Linked DNA regions of Schizosaccharomyces pombe. The gene in region 4 interacts genetically with the main gene of each other region. Each region holds a gene or a part of one and is shown on either strand. Other genes may lie near its edges.

Region 1 (3,867 bases), on a different chromosome or scaffold from region 4:
ACGGACAAGAATTACTCTTTGGAAACATTTTGGACATTATAATAAAGGGCTCTGAATCCAAATACTTCTTGATTTGCGTGATAAACTTCATGAAGGTTTGAATCATCAACAGACCAGCCTAAGCTGGCAAATTTATTAACAGTTGGCAATAACAAGGGCTCAATTGAATCTTTCAAAACATTATTAAGAACTTCCAAATCTTTGGTTGTTCTTTGAGATGAAGGACTTGTGAGCCATACAGAGCAACGAGTCGATACCAAATCGTGAAGTGTCGGAATCCACGATGAAGAATAAAGTGGATGACTTATAAGAGGCATCGGAAGAAAAAAAGTATCATAGTAGGGGTCAAAAGGCTCAAAGGCTCCAACTCTATGCAAATTGTGGTAGTAATCCTGATGAAAATGAAGGCTGAGTGGGGAAGGCAAATTGGGTTGCTTAGAAGGAACAACAACTTCAGGTCCGATAAAATGCAATTGAAATAAACGACCTGGGAACAAAAAGTTCAATCCTTGTAACCAAATTGATGGTGGTAATGAACATTCTTTGGTAGCACCCAAAACGAAAATTCTAGTGGGTCTGGGATCAGTAGATTGAGCAGACAAAGGACGATGAAGCATATATCGTAGAGCAGTTAATGATTGTAGACCCTGGGGAGTTAACCCATTTTTTAAATTATAAGGAGAATTCTTGTGAAGGATAGCGCCGATTGACATGGGATATGTTAATAAACTAGTAATATGTCTAGCAGTTCTAGACGATTGGAACTTTGGGAAATCGCGGGTATAGAAGAATGAATCCCATGACAGAAGAGAAACTACTTCATCTTCTTCCATGGGTCCAGGAAGTTTGAGTAGTTCCGGCAAAGGGTTTGGTCGTGCTAAGTCATGATAGTCTTCATTAATTTGGCGTAGTTTTGGGATAAGGGATTGGTGAATCTTGTCCTGTTCCCAATGAGTTCTATTACAATGAGTAGGAAATCCAGATTCAGGACACTCATATTCCACTGACTTTCCCGAAATTGGACACCGATAGACTTGTTTGATATGCTCAGAGCGACGGCGAAGAGCCGTTAAGGGAGAACGCGATAAAGGATGGAATAATTCATGAGTTGGGGATTTCTTCTTGAAGAGATTTTTTAAAAACGACATAAGTAAAAAAAATATAAGCGAAACGTCACTCTTGAACCAAAAAACAACCTTCTACCGGTTTCAATGTAACTATAGGTAATGAAATAAATTTTTATGTCGGTGTTGCAGCTAAATTTAACAAGTATTGATTTAGGTGAACGTGTTTAGTAGCAGACGAAGAAACTAAAATTAAAAATGTCAAGGAACATAAAAAATACGTTAACAAGGCAAACTATTGAAATGCTTAGTAAAAAAAATTAACAAATTAGTTCGTAGAAGCAATTGCTTTGTTCATTAGCAACCGACATTCAGTAGCGAATTTTATTCTTTAAAAAAATATTAAGTATTGAGTTGACTCAACAAAGAGGTGATTTTCAATAATGTTGATATTAAAGAACTATCTAGTAAATCAATTGCATAACGGGAAATGCACTTTCTTTATTGGAAGTCTACAATGCAACTATAAGGAATACGAATCATCTCGAAAGTAGCTGTGTTAATCTAAGCTTCTATAATTTTCATTGCTCGTAATGTAAAGTGAACTCAATATTTTAGTAACAGTTCCAGCTGGCCCAACAAGACTGCAAACTGACCATACAGAATCCCAAAGCTGTTGTACTAATGAGCAACTAAAAATATATCTGATAAATTCTCAATGTTACATAGATGATTTATAACTTTACTGCGAAAATGTCTGCCTCTTATGACAAGCAAGTCATTAATTATCAGAGCCTTGCGAACCTATTCGTCTGCCACCTGACCTCGTCAAAGGCAGTAATTAAATTGGCAATATAATTCAGGCAAGATTTTTCAATTTTCTAAAATCCTTCGAATGCCCGCCTCCAAATATGCTGGATGGTCTCGAGACCAGCTAATATCCAGAATTTTAGAATTGGACGGGAAATTGCAAAAAAATACAAATTCACTTCCCAATAAAGAAATTGAGGGGAAAAATGAAGTAATTAAAAATAAAAACAAATTGGATAATGGAAATGAAATAGAACCCCAGCATCTGAGCCAAGAACTAGTTTTGCAACATGCGCTTCAGGACGCAAGTAGTCTTCCAAAACTGAAACCTGTCAGACCGTTTCAACTAGAAAAAACAGTTTTTGTTGCTTTTAAATTTGCCTATTGTGGTTGGAATTACAATGGTCTTGCCTACCAGTTAGAACCGACTCCTTTGCCCACTGTTGAAGGAAAGGTGTTTGAAGCGCTGTTGAGAGCTCATCTCATCACTGATCCTTCATCATGTTCCTTTAGTCGATGTGGACGTACTGATAAGGGAGTTTCAGCCATGGGTCAGGTTATATCATTAAATGTACGACATTCAGAAAGAAGACCTATCATATATTGTGATGTATTGAATCGCCTGTTGCCCGCAGATATACGTATTACTGGCTATGCATTTCCACCAGAAGGCTTTGATGCTCGATTTTCCTGTAAACAGCGTCATTATAAATACTTGTTTACTAAGGATTATCCCGGTGGTTCTCTTGACATTGATCGAATGAATGAAGCCGCAGCACTTTATCTAGGTGAGCATGACTTTCGAAATTTTTGCAAAATAGATGCTTCTAAACAAATTACAAATTATCACCGTCGAATTCTCAGTTCAAAGGTTATTTGCATTGATCCCAGTACCGGTCTTTACGCTTTTGACCTACAAGGAACTGCATTTTTATGGCATCAGGTACGATGTATGATGGCCATTCTATTTTTAATTGGTCAAAAGCTTGAGCCGGCCTCTCTCATCAATGATCTTTTGGATATTAAAAAGGTCCCTACTAAGCCAATTTATGATATGGCAAGTGAGTATCCTTTGATTTTGTACGACTGTGACTTTGATAATATTGAATGGACACTACCTACGGATAGTCCTACGACTGCTCCTCGTATCGCTAAACATACATATGAAACCATATATCATCAGTGGCATAGTCTACGTATTCGAGAGCAGATAGCTTCGTTTATGCTTGACATAGCAGATCATAATGTAAAAAGATATGGCAAATCGGAAGAGTCAAGCAGTACTATGAACGTTGGTGAAGGATTGCTGAAGCGAACAAAAAAGTACATCCCAATTCTTTCTAGACAACGTCAGGAATCAGTGGAGGTCGTCAATGAAAGATATAAACGTAAAAAAGGTTTAAAAGACAGTGACGTGAAGAGTGAAAATATTAAATAGATTGTCTTATGACAGAACAGGTTTTAGGTTAATTGCTAATTTTATTTTGGTCCAAAATATATTATCAATTTTAGTATAACCTTCTTAAATAATTAGTTGTAAGTAAGACTTATGATGTACTAAAATTATTTTGCTTTAAAAAGGTATTCCTTGTGTATGTAAGGGACAAGGGTTTCCGGAACTTTAACAGTGCCATCCTCTTGTTGGTGATTTTCAAGGATAGCTATTATTAACCTAGGGATGGCAGCTGCTGTGCCGTTCAGTGTGTGAACAAAACCCGAGTCTTTGTCATTTCGATATCGTGTGAGTAGACGCCTAGCTTGGTATTCAAGACAATTAGATGCTGAAGTTATCTCCCCGTATGATTGTCGCGCTGGCATCCACGCTTCGATGTCATATTTTTGAGAGGCCGAAGATCCCAATTCCGCAGTTGGCATATTCAAAATTCTATATTCGTTAGCATTAGATCATTAAAGTGGTATTTTTGTTAGATTTGATATGTACCTTGCGGGTATTTTTAAAGTTTCTACAAACTCTTTTTGAAAATTAACAATC
Region 2 (5,352 bases), on a different chromosome or scaffold from region 4:
GGATTTTTTCACGTACGGAATCTTGCTGCGTTAAATCCACTCCTTTCAATATTTCTTCATCTTCTTCATCTTCTTTTTGCTTTTGAACTTCAAGGAATTTCTTATTACAAGAGTCATCAGTCCCAACATCCTCTTCAGTAATATCTTTCAACAGGTCAGGAGGTAGTTCGAATATTGAGGTTAATTCTTGTGCAGCTTCCTCAAAAATCTCAGCGAATTCACGAAGATACTCCGACAATGACATCGACTTTTTTTGTGTTTGTTTTTTTTGTTATAATGATGGTTCTTGATCAAAAGGAGAAGGGGAATGCTTACCTATTCCTCGATCAGTTCAGTGTTGACTTATAGTGTGGTCCAGTGCAATGCGGAATGTGATATCCGTGCCATCACACTATTGTAAAAGCCGTAGATATACTTTGATCAATTTTAAGCTACGCATTCAAATAGTAACTTAATTTTTGCTCTCTTAATTGTTAAATCATCATTACTAAATATTTGAGCAGGCTCTTGAGAACATCTGCACCTTAACATTATTAAAAAGTATATGTAAACAAATTATTATTACTACGGTTGACTGATTAAAAGAAAACCACATCATAAATTCATACGAGTCCTTTGAATTTATCTTTTTTGTACACAGTACCAAGCTCATTTCAAGACTTCAAGCCTTTGATTTCTAAGTTCTTAAAAGGTGAAAGAGTTATAATAGTCAAATAAACCAGTGGAACATTTAATTATCATGAGCTATTAGTGTTCTTATTTCATCTTTTTCGGAAGAAAAAGAGAGCAAAAAATGAAAAAAAGTTGTCCAGCATCAGACAAATTTGTTACTCTGCCTAGTGTTAACAAAATATATAGAAGATAGACCGCAGTAAAGCGAGACAAAGAAATTAAATGAAATATAAAGATTATTTTTTTTAAACATTTGTCCAGCTTGCATAGCTTCGCCTTGACAAAATTTTCTGGCTCATTTATCTTTTAGATTTTCGTTTTTTACTTTCCCATTCATGCCAACTTCCTTGCATGTTTTTCAAACTAAACACATAAGTTAGATAAATATCATTCAACGATAAATTTTATACTTACATGACTGCTGGCTCTGGAGGTGGGCTCTCAGAAGTGAAATACTCATGCATCAAGGTCTCATGAGCTGACGGTCTACAAAAGGGATTTAGGGCAAGGAGTTTTTGGCATAGGTCAATGGCGGCAGGACTTAAAATCTCCTTAAAAGTTTCAACAAAACGCGACTTCTTTTCCTCTACTGGCTTCAGAAGCTCATACCAAGGAAGATTTTTCACCTCAGGCCAAGAATGAACATCAGGGGTACCCATCATATCATAGATAACCTCTAACTGACTGATTTCGTCTCGCCCTTGAAAAAAAGGTTTTCCTGTAAACAACTCCATAACAATACAGCCAGCACTCCATATGTCCACGGCTGTGTCATATGCAGTTTCTCCAAGTAATAGCTCTGGAGGTCGAAACCAAAGGGTAATAACGCGATTAGTGTAGTTAGCCGACTTCGAAGATGTATTAAATCTCGCCAGACCAAAATCTGCGAATTTTAGATCACCATTGTTATTCAGTAATATATTAGAACCTTTAATGTCACGATGAAGCACCCCACGATGATGAAGATAAGCTAATGCTTCAAAAATTTGCTTCGAAAGGTGTTTTATGTTACCGGGAGTAAAATGTAATTGTGAATTTAGTAAGACTCCAGTTAAATCGTGATCCATGTACTCAAATACCATATATACAGAACCTAGAATTTTAAAATGTTAGAACTAGTTATAATTAAACGGTGAATGAGGACAGTATTTAATCGTACTTTTTTCCACCATAATTTCTAATAGCCGAACAATATTTTTGTGACGCAAACGCTGCAAGATTTTGACTTCACGGACAGTAGTTATAGGGAACTAGAAAGTTAGTCAATTTAGTTACGAGCTTGATTTTTATACTTACACCATCCTTTTCCTGCTCCAGCCTTATCCGTTTTAAAGCTACCAAATCTCCTGTGACTGTGTTAATGGCTTTGTATACTTTACCATAAGTTCCTTCTCCAATTTGGTCGATTTTCTCATAGGCAGGCTTTGGATATGTATATGTATAAATTGGGCCGGAAGGAGGAGAAGGAAGAGGAGCTGGAACAGACTCACGGGCCGTGGACGTGAGTGCCATACGTTTCGAAGGAGGTTGATCGAATCGAGATCGGCGTTCATTAGGTATATGAAAGTGAAATTTTCCATGTTTGTTCTCTGGAAAGCCAGAAGACACGCTAGATTTTTTTTGTGTATCGGAGGAAGTAGTTTCATGAGGGATAGAAGGAATAGGGGGAGGAGAAGATGAAGGTCTCCGCGATACCTTTCGACCGTTAAAAGCTGAAGGCTTCATATGTACAGAACTAGGCGGAGACCTTCGAAAAGAAGAAGCTTGCCTTTTTGAATCATTTCTGTTTGCGGACGGTGATATAGGTGAGACGGAGGCGCTAGAAGAGCTTTCAGAGCGTTTGGCAAAGTAATCCTTGGTAGTTAAATTACGTGCTCGTTTTTGACTACCTGAGCGGTAAAAGGAAGGTGATGGAGGTGAGCCAGGTCTAGGACTGAATGCCTTTTTACCCTTTCTCCTTCTAGATTTTCGAGAACGAAAAGGTCTTTCATGCTGTCTTGCTCGGGAAGAATGTGTATCGTTGAGAGGAAATGTTCTTTTCCGCTGTTCTCGAGGATCCTTCGCAGATGAGGATGGCGATATACTAGATGAATTATTTTTGAAAGCATTAGAGGACAGGGTGTGGCCTCCTAAAGACTCCTCATTTGTACCAGAAAGCTGAGACTTTTCTTCGACGGTACGCCGAAAGTGGCTATTTGGTTCTGTGCCTTGTCGGCGATAAATTGTACTCTTCGAGTATGACATTTAACAGGGTTAAAAAAAATAAAAAATAAAAAAAGGAATATTCCTAAACAATGAAGAGAATTACACGCAATCTGTGAGCGAAAATTCGATGGGAATAAAAGAAAAGAAATTAATCGTTAAAGTACGGCCAAATGTGTTTTTATGTAACAATAAATACAACTTCACCGGAAAAAAATCGTACAAGGGAAATAAAAGGTAAGCTGCCAAGACAAGCTAGTTAAATCCAGTGAAATAAATCATGCAATCTAATAAATGAAGAAAGGACAATTTTCAGAGTGGAGATTTTTTTCACCGCTAAACTATGAAGGGTGAACGTGAGACAAACCTTTTCAATCAATAGAGAAATCTAACCAGAGATTTGTGAATAAGTCGGTTGCAGAAATGTTATTGAAACGTAAATGTACAAAATATGAGTATCCACAAAATTAGGAAATACTTTTAAGTATCAACTCTTGCAGCTTAAAAAAATATACCGTAATTTTCTTTTAGTTGCACTCCTGATTTCTTTGATCTATCAATTCAAAATGTACATTGTTAAAAACACCAATTATCTCGAAATTTAATAAAGACAGAAATAAATTAGTTCTTCCTCTTCTATGACAATGAATGAAGTAGTTTGCAAGTCCACTAGTTTAATCAAGGGGCGATAGGTAAACTTCGTTGTTGGTGTGTAGTAGAAATAGAAATAAACGCGCGCGACTCAATTCCTTTACCACACCATACTTAAAATAATAAGTAATTTGAGGCTATGATGAATATCAGCTTGTTTTATAGAAATCAAAGTAAATAATGTATTTATTCAATGCTTAACTCTTAGCCATTTTCTCTTCCCCATTTGCTAAGATGGTCTTTTAACTATTAACTAAGTCCAACCAGTTATTCTCAATTCATATAATATTATTGGATTAAACCTTTTCATCTGAATTATATTAAGTTCATATTTAACATTTTAAAAAGCGATGAAGATAAATCTGGTAATCCGCATGGATCCTTGGAAATTGCCATTGGCGATAGTAAACCAAAGGAATCAAATGTCGACTAGATAAAGGCAAGTCTGAGCTTTTCTATTAGTTTTGAATCGTTTAAAATAATATTATTTATGAGAAATTAATATTCTACCATAAATTAGTGTTTTCCGTGAGTCTAAAGAATACAAAGTAAAATAATCAATAATATGCAACCCTTACATGTAAGGTAGGAGGGAATATATTATTTTACTGTATATAGAAGTTTTACATCCTTTCATAAGTATAACGTTATCACATTGGACGTTCTAGTAGAACGCCAGTCTTCAAAACATTAAAAATTCATATTCAGCCTCTCAAAATCTATTGTGTGCAAATTGTTTGCAAAGCTAAATTAATCAATAATATTTTTTTAAAAATTAAACAAAAATGCTTGGTTTTAGAAAGAACAAGGTTAGGTCAAGAGCTTCAAGATGAATAACTCATGGAATTCTGTTCCTGTTGTTTATTCAATTTTAAGAGTGATGATTTTGACATAAATTTGGTGCAATATTGTTTAAATAATAGTCTCATTAGTTAAACTAAATGTTTAAAAAAAAAAAAAATCATTGCAAAAAGCTAAATGAGCATAATTGATTTTTTATAAGTTTTTTTTTTCAAAAATGCAAACAAATAAATTAAATTTGTTTAATGAAATTAAAAAATAAAAAGGTAGATGATCGTACAAACGGCTACTACCAGTACGATATAATTTTTTATAAAAATTCCAAAACGTAAGCATAATTAATATGAAATAATAAAATATCATAGAAATTCAAGTGTACAAGGATCCTACGACCAAATGTTTGCTTTCATATGTATATATTCAATTCTAAATATTTATATAGCTTACTCAATTTGTGCAATTTTAACAAAGAAACGTGATTTTATTACAATAAATAGGTCATTAAAAAAATAAAAATTTGCACTTATATTCAATTGACTGACATACAAAACGTATTATCAGAGTTAGACTTAAATAAAATTTTCCTTATTCAACGGACATCCTATACTGGTTTCTGTGGATTTATGATATATTTGCATATGGTAAATTCAGCGAGAGAGTCCCTTGCACTCAATTATATTCACCAATAATACTTAATGAATCTTAATCGAAAAGACATGGACGTTGTGCTTTCAAATGCGAAAACCATATCTTCTTATTCAACATTTAATATGGGGTAAAAGTAGAGTACTTCTAATATCTTAAAGCAAAGCAAAAAAAATAAGCTCTTTTATTATGTTATATTTTCGTTAATAAAAATCGCTTCTTCAAACATTTATTCATCACAGGTGCGATATAAGAATCTGAGTTTGTACTCTATAGCAGCTCTTTTAGCTTTCAGTATTTAATTTATTCAAATGCTATATGCATAATTCCTTCATAGTTTGGCTATGTCTTATCGTTTCGTTTAGTATATTTACAATTCCA
Region 3 (5,384 bases), 1.3 Mb from region 4:
GTTTGTATTACATTTTAAGTGGGATCGTAGTAACTAAATGGGGGTACATAAAACTGGTACTACTAAACAGATTTATCTAAGTTGTGAACAAATTTCAATAAACAAACGAATGTATAATCTCATCGGCAAGAAAATAATTTTTTACGTCAATCACTTATTTCACTTCTTTATTTTATTTTGAATATATCAAATGTAATCAAGTTTAGAAACGTAGACGGGTTCATGTATGAGCTTTCTTCGTTTCATTTGCATATATATCCTTTGTAAGATTCTGTTACTTTGAATATGTTTTCTTTATAAGTTGTAGATGGTAATTGCTACTCTTTAAATACAAGCTGTCTTCTACAATAATTTTAATTTTACCAGAGTATTTTTAATTATCCTCATGCGAGTAATTTTCTAATTATGTGGTGTAACAAAAATAGCGTTCGGTTAAATTTTAGTTCGCCGTGTTAAGTCTATTAATCAAAAAATTTGGGTTCGTAAAATTGTACGCCTATCTGCCTAGAATCAAGTGAAACCATATTACAGGCATAATGCTCCAATCGATAATGGGAATAAACAACTCAGACTTTGGAAATTCACAGCTACATTGCCATAATCATATTGTGGATGGGTGTGTCACCTTGAAATGTTTTATTGATAAACTAACTAGCAACTAATCTATGCTTTTTATCGGAAAAAATAAAAATAAAATAAACTCCTATAATAAAAGACCTTTTTGTACAAAATCATAATAATACCACCCTATTCCAGACATTTTTTTTACGTAAAATGACATATTAAAACCTCTTCGTTTTTTTTAGTACGAAGAAACTCCTCCATCTTCATACATAATACATATTTACGAGCCAAATTTGTGCTCATAAAAGCTTGCTGGCATTGATTTACTCATCAACATATCGGCGATTGGTCGTTCGACTACCAGCAATTCAGAGTTTCCTACAGAGCCTACAAGTAGCATTGGTCGATATTTGTGAGTAATCCAGAAACACCTAGAATCCCCTGTTCCATAATTTGAAATGCCGTTCGAATTAGCATTCGCCAATTTTTTGTCATTCAGATTCCCGTCAACTGTTGCATTCATTTCAATTTTACGTTTTCCGGCAGCGCGAGGCGCTGGTAATTGAAGATTAAGATCGAAAAATGAAACCCAGTTGGCTGACCAAATCCAGAATCGACTCGGATGTTTAGAGTCGAAAAATGCTCCGAATGCCTTATCTAGAAGTTGCGAAAATTCTTTGGGCATATTTGTAGAATTGTTTTTTGACCATTCAGATAATTTACGGGATTGAACATCAAACTCATAAACTTGATTTCCCGCCGTAGCAACAGCTAAACGGCCTCGTACATCTGGACGAAAAGCCATTGCACGAACATAAGTGTTAACTCGTGGTAACTCTGAATATGTTAAATTTGACAAGGAGTAGCAGAAAATATTTCCAACTGTGTCCGCAACAGCAAAATAATCTCCATCCGAAGATACCGCTATACTGCAAATACCATCACACATGCTGCTTACATTGCTTCGCTGACGAGGAGCAATTTTCTTGCTAGTGGGTTGTGATAACTCGAAAACTTCTAGCTGACGAGAATCCAGTCGACTTAATTCAATGAGAAATATCTCGGAATCGTTACTAACAAGGATAAGCTTGTTCTTATCTACAGTAAAACTAAGCAGGCTAGCACCAATATTTGAAAGGAAGGAGTCCTCAACTGTTTCAACTTTCACATTTTCATCGCTATACTGTAATTGATAAAGCTTCGTCCTCAAAACGGAAGAAATTGCAATTAATTCCCCATCAGGAGAAATTGCTGCATGTGAAATATTTTCTTCGTCAGCCAACACAATTTTTAATAAAAACCTATAGCCAGGAGACCCAATTCTCCAGAGAAGTACTTCATGATCATTCCATAACATAAAAAGCCTTGCTTTCGGTGCGACCGCCATGCGAGGGCGTTGAGGAACGGCAGATATCATCCTGTGATTCTTGCGATTAAATTGTCGAACAGGAATTACCGCAAGCATCATATCCATACCACCGCTAATAAGAACATCCAAACTTTTACATTCAAAAACGGCCATACATCGAACATCATGAGAATGGAACCTTCTAAAACTGTTGCTGACCCATTCTCTTTTACCTCCTTCGCGTGAGTACTGAATAGTTTTCCTGTCAATCCCTGAAGAAAATACCATATCTCCGTTAGCAGAAACACCCAAACACAAAGCATCAGCCAAATGTAGTTTGAACGATTGGCTTAATGTAAAGAATTTTCCATTCCAAAATTTAACAGCACCTGATGAATCGGCACTTACGATAGTGCCATCCCGTAAACTTTTCACGGCCCAAATTAAAGCAGCTTCTCCTTTTCGAGCACGATCTACTTGCATTCTAGAAATTATAGCGGAATTTGGAGTGCTAAGATCCCAAACTTTGATAACACCGTCAGCGCAACCACCAACAAGATGATCTTTTGTTTGAAAGTCGAGCGAAAGGATACGAGACGTTTGGCGCATCAAAACTCGTTTAAATTCGATGACACCTGGGCCACCACTAATGTCAAATAGAACGCAACTTCCATCATCACATCCAACAGCTAGAGTTTTAGTTTCATCGCATATAGCGATTGACCAAATAGCTCCTGCATTAGAGTCTTGGTTTACCAATGGTTTTCCAGTATGTAAATTCCATTCAGTAATAGTAGTTGAAAATCCTATACTGAATAATCGTAGCTCCTCTTCACCGGTACTCCAAACAATCCCTTCAATACTGCGATCTACACCACCGTATAACACAGTTTTTAAGCACCAATCGTTTCGAGGGTTCCATATTTCAATGTTTCCGCTAGCACGTCCAACAGCGAGTAGTAAATTGTTAGGCATAGAATCATTCTGACCGCTTTTATGGGAAAATGCCATTGCAGTAATAGCTGAAGGGGTATAGTCGATAAAGCGACAACGATGAATATCCATGTTGCTAATTAAATTTAAATAAAAGAAAGAACGAACAGGAAACTAATCAGAAGTATGTATGGAAAAAATTATTTTTTTGCACCAAAGTCAATTTCCCAAATCAAACCCAAAATATCGCCAAAGTCGGCTATTAGCTAGATAATTGTAATCCTTTTTTTGAAAAAAATATAAAAGAAAAAATTTAAAAGGTTTCAATGGAATAAATCAACTATGTTTTCGCTCTTTTTTTCAAAAATGAAAATTTTGATGAACGAGTGAATCCTCAGGATTCAACCACAAAACGAAGATCACAGTAGTATAGTGATTTCAACGTGAAGAATAATCAAAGTATCTACTATTAATATTACAAATATGTATTATTCTTCTAAAGCACTCTTCAGAGTGTCCTTTGGAACTCCGTTGGTAAATGGTAGTGGAAGAAATTTGTATTTACAAGGCTAGCACAACATGACCAAGAGCATCTACCATATTTAGGTGAAAGTGCGTTAGCAGTTATGTGTACGGCAATTAAGTTTTGAAAGTATTCATGTTAATTATTTTACATTTTAAGATGTCAATGAGATATTTATTCTCAATATTTAAACAAACACCAGATACCCTAGGAATAATTCAGCGACCTTCAATATGATCATTGTAGTATAATATTTTATTGAGGATGGATACTTACTAGCAAATTTAGTAATTGATAAATCATAGTGAAAATGTCATTTATTCTATCTACGATAATACCACATGACTTAGCATAGAAAACCGTATGTTACAGTACAGCAGTAAGCAGGTTCGTTGTCTGCCGTCTACCAACCATCAACTTCACAGATCTTGGTATCTATCCTACAAAAACTTTAGAAAATTTCTTCATGGTTCAGTTTGAAGCAAACGAGAAGCAATTTAAGCTTCGTCGAGAAGATTGTTGTTTAACAATTGACCGAGAAAGTGGTGCAGTTAGTTTTGAGCCGGACGAGTTGAAACCAGTTGCCCGCAGCAAAGAAAATAGTGTCACATTGTTTGGTTCAATCAAGCTGAAAAAAGATAAATATCTTATTTTAGCTACAGAAAAATCTAGTGCAGCCCAAATTTTGGGACATAAAATATATCGTGTTCATAAATTTGAAGTTATTCCCTATCGTAACCTACTAGCTGACGATCAAGATGAATTGGATTTATACAATTTGTTACAAAATCATTTGAAAACAGGACCTTTTTACTTCTCGTACACATGGGACCTTACTAACTCCCTACAACGTTCTTGTACGGATGAGGGAAAGGCCTCACCTATTCTTCGAAGTGATAAACGATTTTTTTGGAACGAGTTTGCTAGTAAAGATTTCATTGATCTTATCGGTGCCCATTCTGAAGTATCACTTTTCATTACGCCAATGATTTACGGCTTCATCACTTCTGCTTCCACTATTGTTAAGGGACGAACAATCACGTTAGCATTAATATCTCGACGCTCTAAACAACGCGCCGGTACTAGATATTTTACCAGAGGTTTAGACGAGAATGGAAACCCCGCCAACTTCAATGAAACTGAGCAGATTACTATCGTTTCAGACGAAAAGTCAGAGGTCACTTATTCACATGTTCAGACCCGCGGTAGTGTTCCTGCTTTTTGGGCAGAGGTTAATAATCTTCGCTATAAACCATTGATGGTTGCAAATTCTGCTTCAATGGCTGCAGCCGCTGCAAAAAAGCATTTCGACGAGCAAATATCCATATACGGTGACCAGGTTGTAGTTAATTTGGTCAACTGTAAAGGACATGAGCTTCCTATTAAACAGTTATATGAAAATGTTATACGTCGTTTGGATAATCCCCATATCCATTATCATTATTTTGACTTTCATAAAGAATGTAGCCATATGAGGTGGGACCGGGTTTCACTCCTTTTAAATGAAATACAACCCGAGTTAGAAGAGCAAGGCTACACTACATTAGACACTCAAAAGTACCGTGTTTTATCTCGTCAGAATGGCGTTGTACGCTCCAACTGCATGGATTGTCTTGATAGAACCAATGTGGTCCAAAGCTGTATAGGTCGCTGGGTGCTTACGAATCAACTTCGTAAATGCGGAATTATAGGTGCTACCCATCCCCTTCGTTCCGTCATTCCTCTTGATAACATTTTTTGCAACATTTGGTCTGATAATGCAGATTACATTAGTCTTTCTTATTCTGGTACAGGAGCTTTGAAAACCGATTTTACTAGAACCGGTATTCGAACTCGAAAAGGCGCTTTTAACGATTTTGTTAACTCTGCTAAACGTTATATTTTAAATAATTTTTATGATGGAGCACGTCAAGATGCTTATGATTTAGTACTTGGACAGTTTAGACCCGATGTTAACTTCCGATATAGATTAGATTTACGTCCTCTTACTATTCGTTGTGTCCCTTATATATTATT
Region 4 (3,682 bases):
TGTCAATCCAACTGGTGAACTGCTCAAGATTGTTAAGGATGTAGATAAGCTTTTGTTGAAACGCGATCATAAGCAGCTGGATTATGATCGTCATCGTTCATCTTTCAAGAAACTTCAGGAAAAGAAGGATAAAAGCCTTAAAGATGAGAAGAAGCTTTATGAAGCTGAAACCGCCTTTGAACAATCTTCCCAAGAATATGAATATTATAATGAAATGCTGAAGGAGGAGTTACCTAAACTATTTGCATTGGCTCAGAGCTTCATTGCTCCCTTATTCCAAGGATTTTACTATATGCAATTAAATGTCTATTACGTTCTTTATGAAAAGATGAGTCACTGCGAAATTCAGTACTTTGATTTCAATACCGATATTTTGGAATCGTACGAAAGAAGACGCGGCGATGTTAAAGATCGCGCAGAGGCTTTGACGATTACTAAATTTAAGACCGCTAAACCGACGTATAAACGACCGGGTATGGGACCGGGTGGTAAAGATGCAACTGCTTCTTCTTCTTCTTCCTTTTCGTCAAAGCGTGAAGAAGCAGCAGCCGAACCCTCCTCTTCGACAGCTACGGATATTCCACCCCCATACTCAACGCCATCGGTTGCCGGAGCTTCCGATTATTCTACCCCAAGTGCAGGTTATCAAACTGTTCAGACGACCACTACTACAACTGAAGCAGCAGCTGCTCAATACCCTCAAGCGGCCTTTCCTCCCCCTCCAGTTATGCCTCAACCTGCTGCTGCGGCAGTGACCACACCTGTTGCTGCACCGGTAGCAGCAGCTGCAGCCGCAGTTCCCGTACCTCCACCAGCGCCTGCACCTGCTGCGGCTCCCGCCGCAGAGCATGTTGTTGCTTTATATGATTATGCTGCCCAAGCAGCCGGAGATTTATCTTTTCATGCTGGCGATCGTATCGAAGTTGTTTCACGTACTGATAATCAAAATGTAAGTACTTAAACTTAAATTTTCATTTTTTTCTTATTAAACAAGGACTTTACTAATATATATTTTAGGAATGGTGGATTGGCCGACTTAACGGTGCACAAGGTCAATTTCCTGGTAATTATGTTCAGCTTGAATAAAGCGTTTTTAAATTTACCTAGATGTGTCTTAAAATCTCGCTGCCTACTGAAGTCAATATAGAAGCTTGATTATAGGACTTGTTGTTACAGGTTACTGTTTGTGTGCGCGCTTCAACAAGTTTTACACTGCTATTCAATTTCTATCAATTTTGTCGTTCTAACTATGATGCTTAAATTTAGACATGTATTCCATACATCATCATCTCCAGTGATAATTTAACACTGTCTATGTTTGAATACTGGCTTTTTATCAACGTGTTTCCTTACTGACGTGTACTTCAAAGAGTAGCACATTTTTTGAAATGTTTTGAATAACGTAAACTTATATATATTAATTACGTTTAACTGTTTTTATTTTAATTTAACTAGTCTATCAACAAAGCTGTCCTTTCTTATATCTATACTTTAACAGTGCTAGCTAGGATTGAAGCAAAACATGATTCGAACTAGAGCTTTCATTGTGATATTGAATTTTTTGGGATTTGTAGTTTCAACAGTATAACAATCGGAATTGATGTATTCTAGCAGGAAATATACGACATACAGTATTTAGAGTCGTTGCTAAACGAGAATCGTTTAACGAACTTCGTTAACAGACAGTATTCCATGACTTAAGTGAATAGTTAACTACGTAACCTAATGCAGCAACGATACGGTAAATACAATATCGAGTGTTAATGAAATTTGTAATAAAGTAATTTGCATAGCTGATAGTATCATGCAAATCAATCTAGTAAGTGAGTTAGCACCTACCAAAGGAAATTGGATGATGAAAAGTGTTGTTTGAGAATATCAGTTACAGGATATTATGGTACGCCCCATAAATGCTGAAGAGGATGTGACATCCATGTGGGTTAAATTTCATGAAAGCCTAAATCCCATTCGGTCTAGTTTAATAAAACAAGAAGAATGTTATAAAACGGTTGATGGCGACGATAATCCAATTGAAGAAAGAATTAAAGCGTGTGACGCGGGAATTCAAACCTCTGAAGAACAGAAAAAAGAATTGGAGCATACAATGCAATCTCTTGAGATGATTATTAATGTACTCGAAAAAGCCAATGAAAAACCTGTAATTACAAATAGTCCTTTGACGAGAAGTCGTCGAAACCGAGGAACAAGCTTTACAGCAAATACAGTAACCTTTACACCTGGCATGTCTGTAGCTTTCAAGTTACCATACACGAGGCATAACGAGGGAGGTGATTGGATTCAATGTATCATTATTAAAGTGACTGGAGAAGGAGCAAAACAGAGGTGAGTTTTCAAAAGCAAATATTGTCAGTCGCGAGTTCAAATTTACTTCTAAGCTTATATGTTGATAATATTTTTTTACCAGTATATTAACAAAACCATAGATTTGAAGTGCAGGATCCAGAACCGGATGATGACGGTAATGCAGGTCAAATTTATAAAACTACAGCTAATCATCTTATACAAATTCCTGCAAAAGGAACTCCTTTACCCCCAATAAGCCCAAAAACAAATGTTTTAGCTCGATATCCTGAAACTACTACGTTTTATCGGGCAGAAGTCATTCGCACTCTGCCTGATGGATCATGTAAACTTCGATTTGAAGGAGAAGAGGAAGTTGGGAAAGAAACAGTGGTAGAGCGTCATTTGGTGTTAGAGTACAATGGTTAAAACTGGAACGTTTTACTCAGATTTTTTAGGAGGTATTAGTTAAAGGTTATTTTTATTCACTTCGATATTAGGTTCACAGCATTTAAAAAAATTGATGACATTATCTGTAATATGCATAACTCAGATTTAACATTTTTTTTATTCATTGTGATGTTGAGTTGTTCCTTATATTTTATATATTAATGGCGTTAACGCATGTTAATAACTTAAGCCAAGACAAGGGCTCATTCAAAGTACTTGCTTCTATCGTGTTGCACATCTAACATTGCTAATGTACGCCAAATCTGCTTGCTTCCTTGACATTTTGCAAGGAATCTAATTTTAAAAAATAGTAGTAACATGACAGTCTAGAAAAAATTTCAAACACCTATAGAGGAAACTGAATACTAAAACTAAGTTCATTTAACGAGTATCTCCTATTAAATTATTCATAAAAATAAACAAAATAGAAAAATTGTATATGTATGAATCCTTTGGTTAATGGACTCTGAGATAAAGAAATGTAGCAACCCGGTATATATAGTTAACGCATTTATAGTTACCAACGCTATGAGGGCATTAAGGGTTTGAGTAGCTGCTCTTCTGGTTACATTATGACTGCGTATTTATGGTGGACGTGAATATGGCACCAAGCACAGCTTTGTTTTCAGAACCAAACATTATACTCCTTTCAGAGTTATATTCTGTTTGCTGGCTCATATATTCAAGGAGTCTTTTGTTTAATTCTCAACGATCTTTAAGTTTGGTTTTATTTTATTCTTTTATTCAAAGGGACAATTAATATTCACGTCTCTCTAATTGACCTCCTGGCGCAACGTGCTCGTTTAATTAAACTCTTTCACTATGTTTTCAAATTCTAAAAAAAAAATTTTTCTTTACGTGCTAATTGCCGGTGTTGCTACTTTTTCCTTTGCTTTTCTTGTACTAAATCGTCTACAGGCCGAAGAACATT

Evidence for each region.
Region 1: mutations in sgf29 (region 4) and deg1 together harm fitness less than expected from each alone (positive genetic interaction), as found in Schizosaccharomyces pombe (2 studies listed by BioGRID).
Region 2: mutations in sgf29 (region 4) and lsk1 are lethal when combined (synthetic lethality), as found in Schizosaccharomyces pombe (2 studies listed by BioGRID, with this or other methods).
Region 3: mutations in sgf29 (region 4) and utp4 together harm fitness more than expected from each alone (negative genetic interaction), as found in Schizosaccharomyces pombe (2 studies listed by BioGRID).

Annotation. Positions count from the first base shown.
Region 1 is NC_003424.3:4,160,841-4,164,707, forward strand, and holds deg1 (tRNA-pseudouridine synthase), read left to right. Parts: upstream 1-1,878; 5' UTR 1,879-1,959; coding exon 1,960-3,312; 3' UTR 3,313-3,367; downstream 3,368-3,867. Other genes in the region: splicing suppressor Mss51, read right to left, coding at 12-1,148; dia4 (serine--tRNA (Ser) ligase), read right to left, coding at 3,438-3,759, 3,817-3,867.
Region 2 is NC_003424.3:3,952,035-3,957,386, reverse strand, and holds lsk1 (P-TEFb-associated cyclin-dependent protein kinase Lsk1), read right to left. Parts: upstream 3,592-5,352; 5' UTR 2,917-3,591; coding exon 1,969-2,916; intron 1,923-1,968; coding exon 1,832-1,922; intron 1,817-1,831; exon of another isoform or gene 1,766-1,816; coding exon 1,087-1,765; exon of another isoform or gene 1,036-1,086; coding exon 972-1,035; 3' UTR 518-971; downstream 1-517. Other genes in the region: SPOM_SPAC2F3.16 (ubiquitin-protein ligase E3), read right to left, coding at 1-244. UniProt on the Schizosaccharomyces pombe protein: Catalytic subunit of the CTDK-I complex, which hyperphosphorylates the C-terminal heptapeptide repeat domain (CTD) of the largest RNA polymerase II subunit. Involved in RNA polymerase II transcriptional elongation and pre-mRNA 3'-end processing.
Region 3 is NC_003423.3:3,702,898-3,708,281, forward strand, and holds utp4 (U3 snoRNP protein Utp4), read right to left. Parts: upstream 3,389-5,384; 5' UTR 2,978-3,388; coding exon 845-2,977; 3' UTR 559-844; downstream 1-558. Other genes in the region: sac11 (inositol polyphosphate phosphatase), read left to right, coding at 3,835-5,384. UniProt on the Schizosaccharomyces pombe protein: Involved in nucleolar processing of pre-18S ribosomal RNA. Required for optimal pre-ribosomal RNA transcription by RNA polymerase I together with a subset of U3 proteins required for transcription (t-UTPs).
Region 4 is NC_003423.3:2,418,194-2,421,875, reverse strand, and holds sgf29 (SAGA complex subunit Sgf29), read left to right. Parts: upstream 1-1,830; 5' UTR 1,831-1,894; coding exon 1,895-2,343; exon of another isoform or gene 2,344-2,444; coding exon 2,445-2,730; 3' UTR 2,731-3,138; downstream 3,139-3,682. Other genes in the region: BAR adaptor protein Hob1, read left to right, coding at 1-949, 1,018-1,086; pvg3 (galactosylxylosylprotein 3-beta-galactosyltransferase Pvg1), read left to right, coding at 3,574-3,682. UniProt on the Schizosaccharomyces pombe protein: Chromatin reader component of the transcription coactivator SAGA complex. SAGA acts as a general cofactor required for essentially all RNA polymerase II transcription.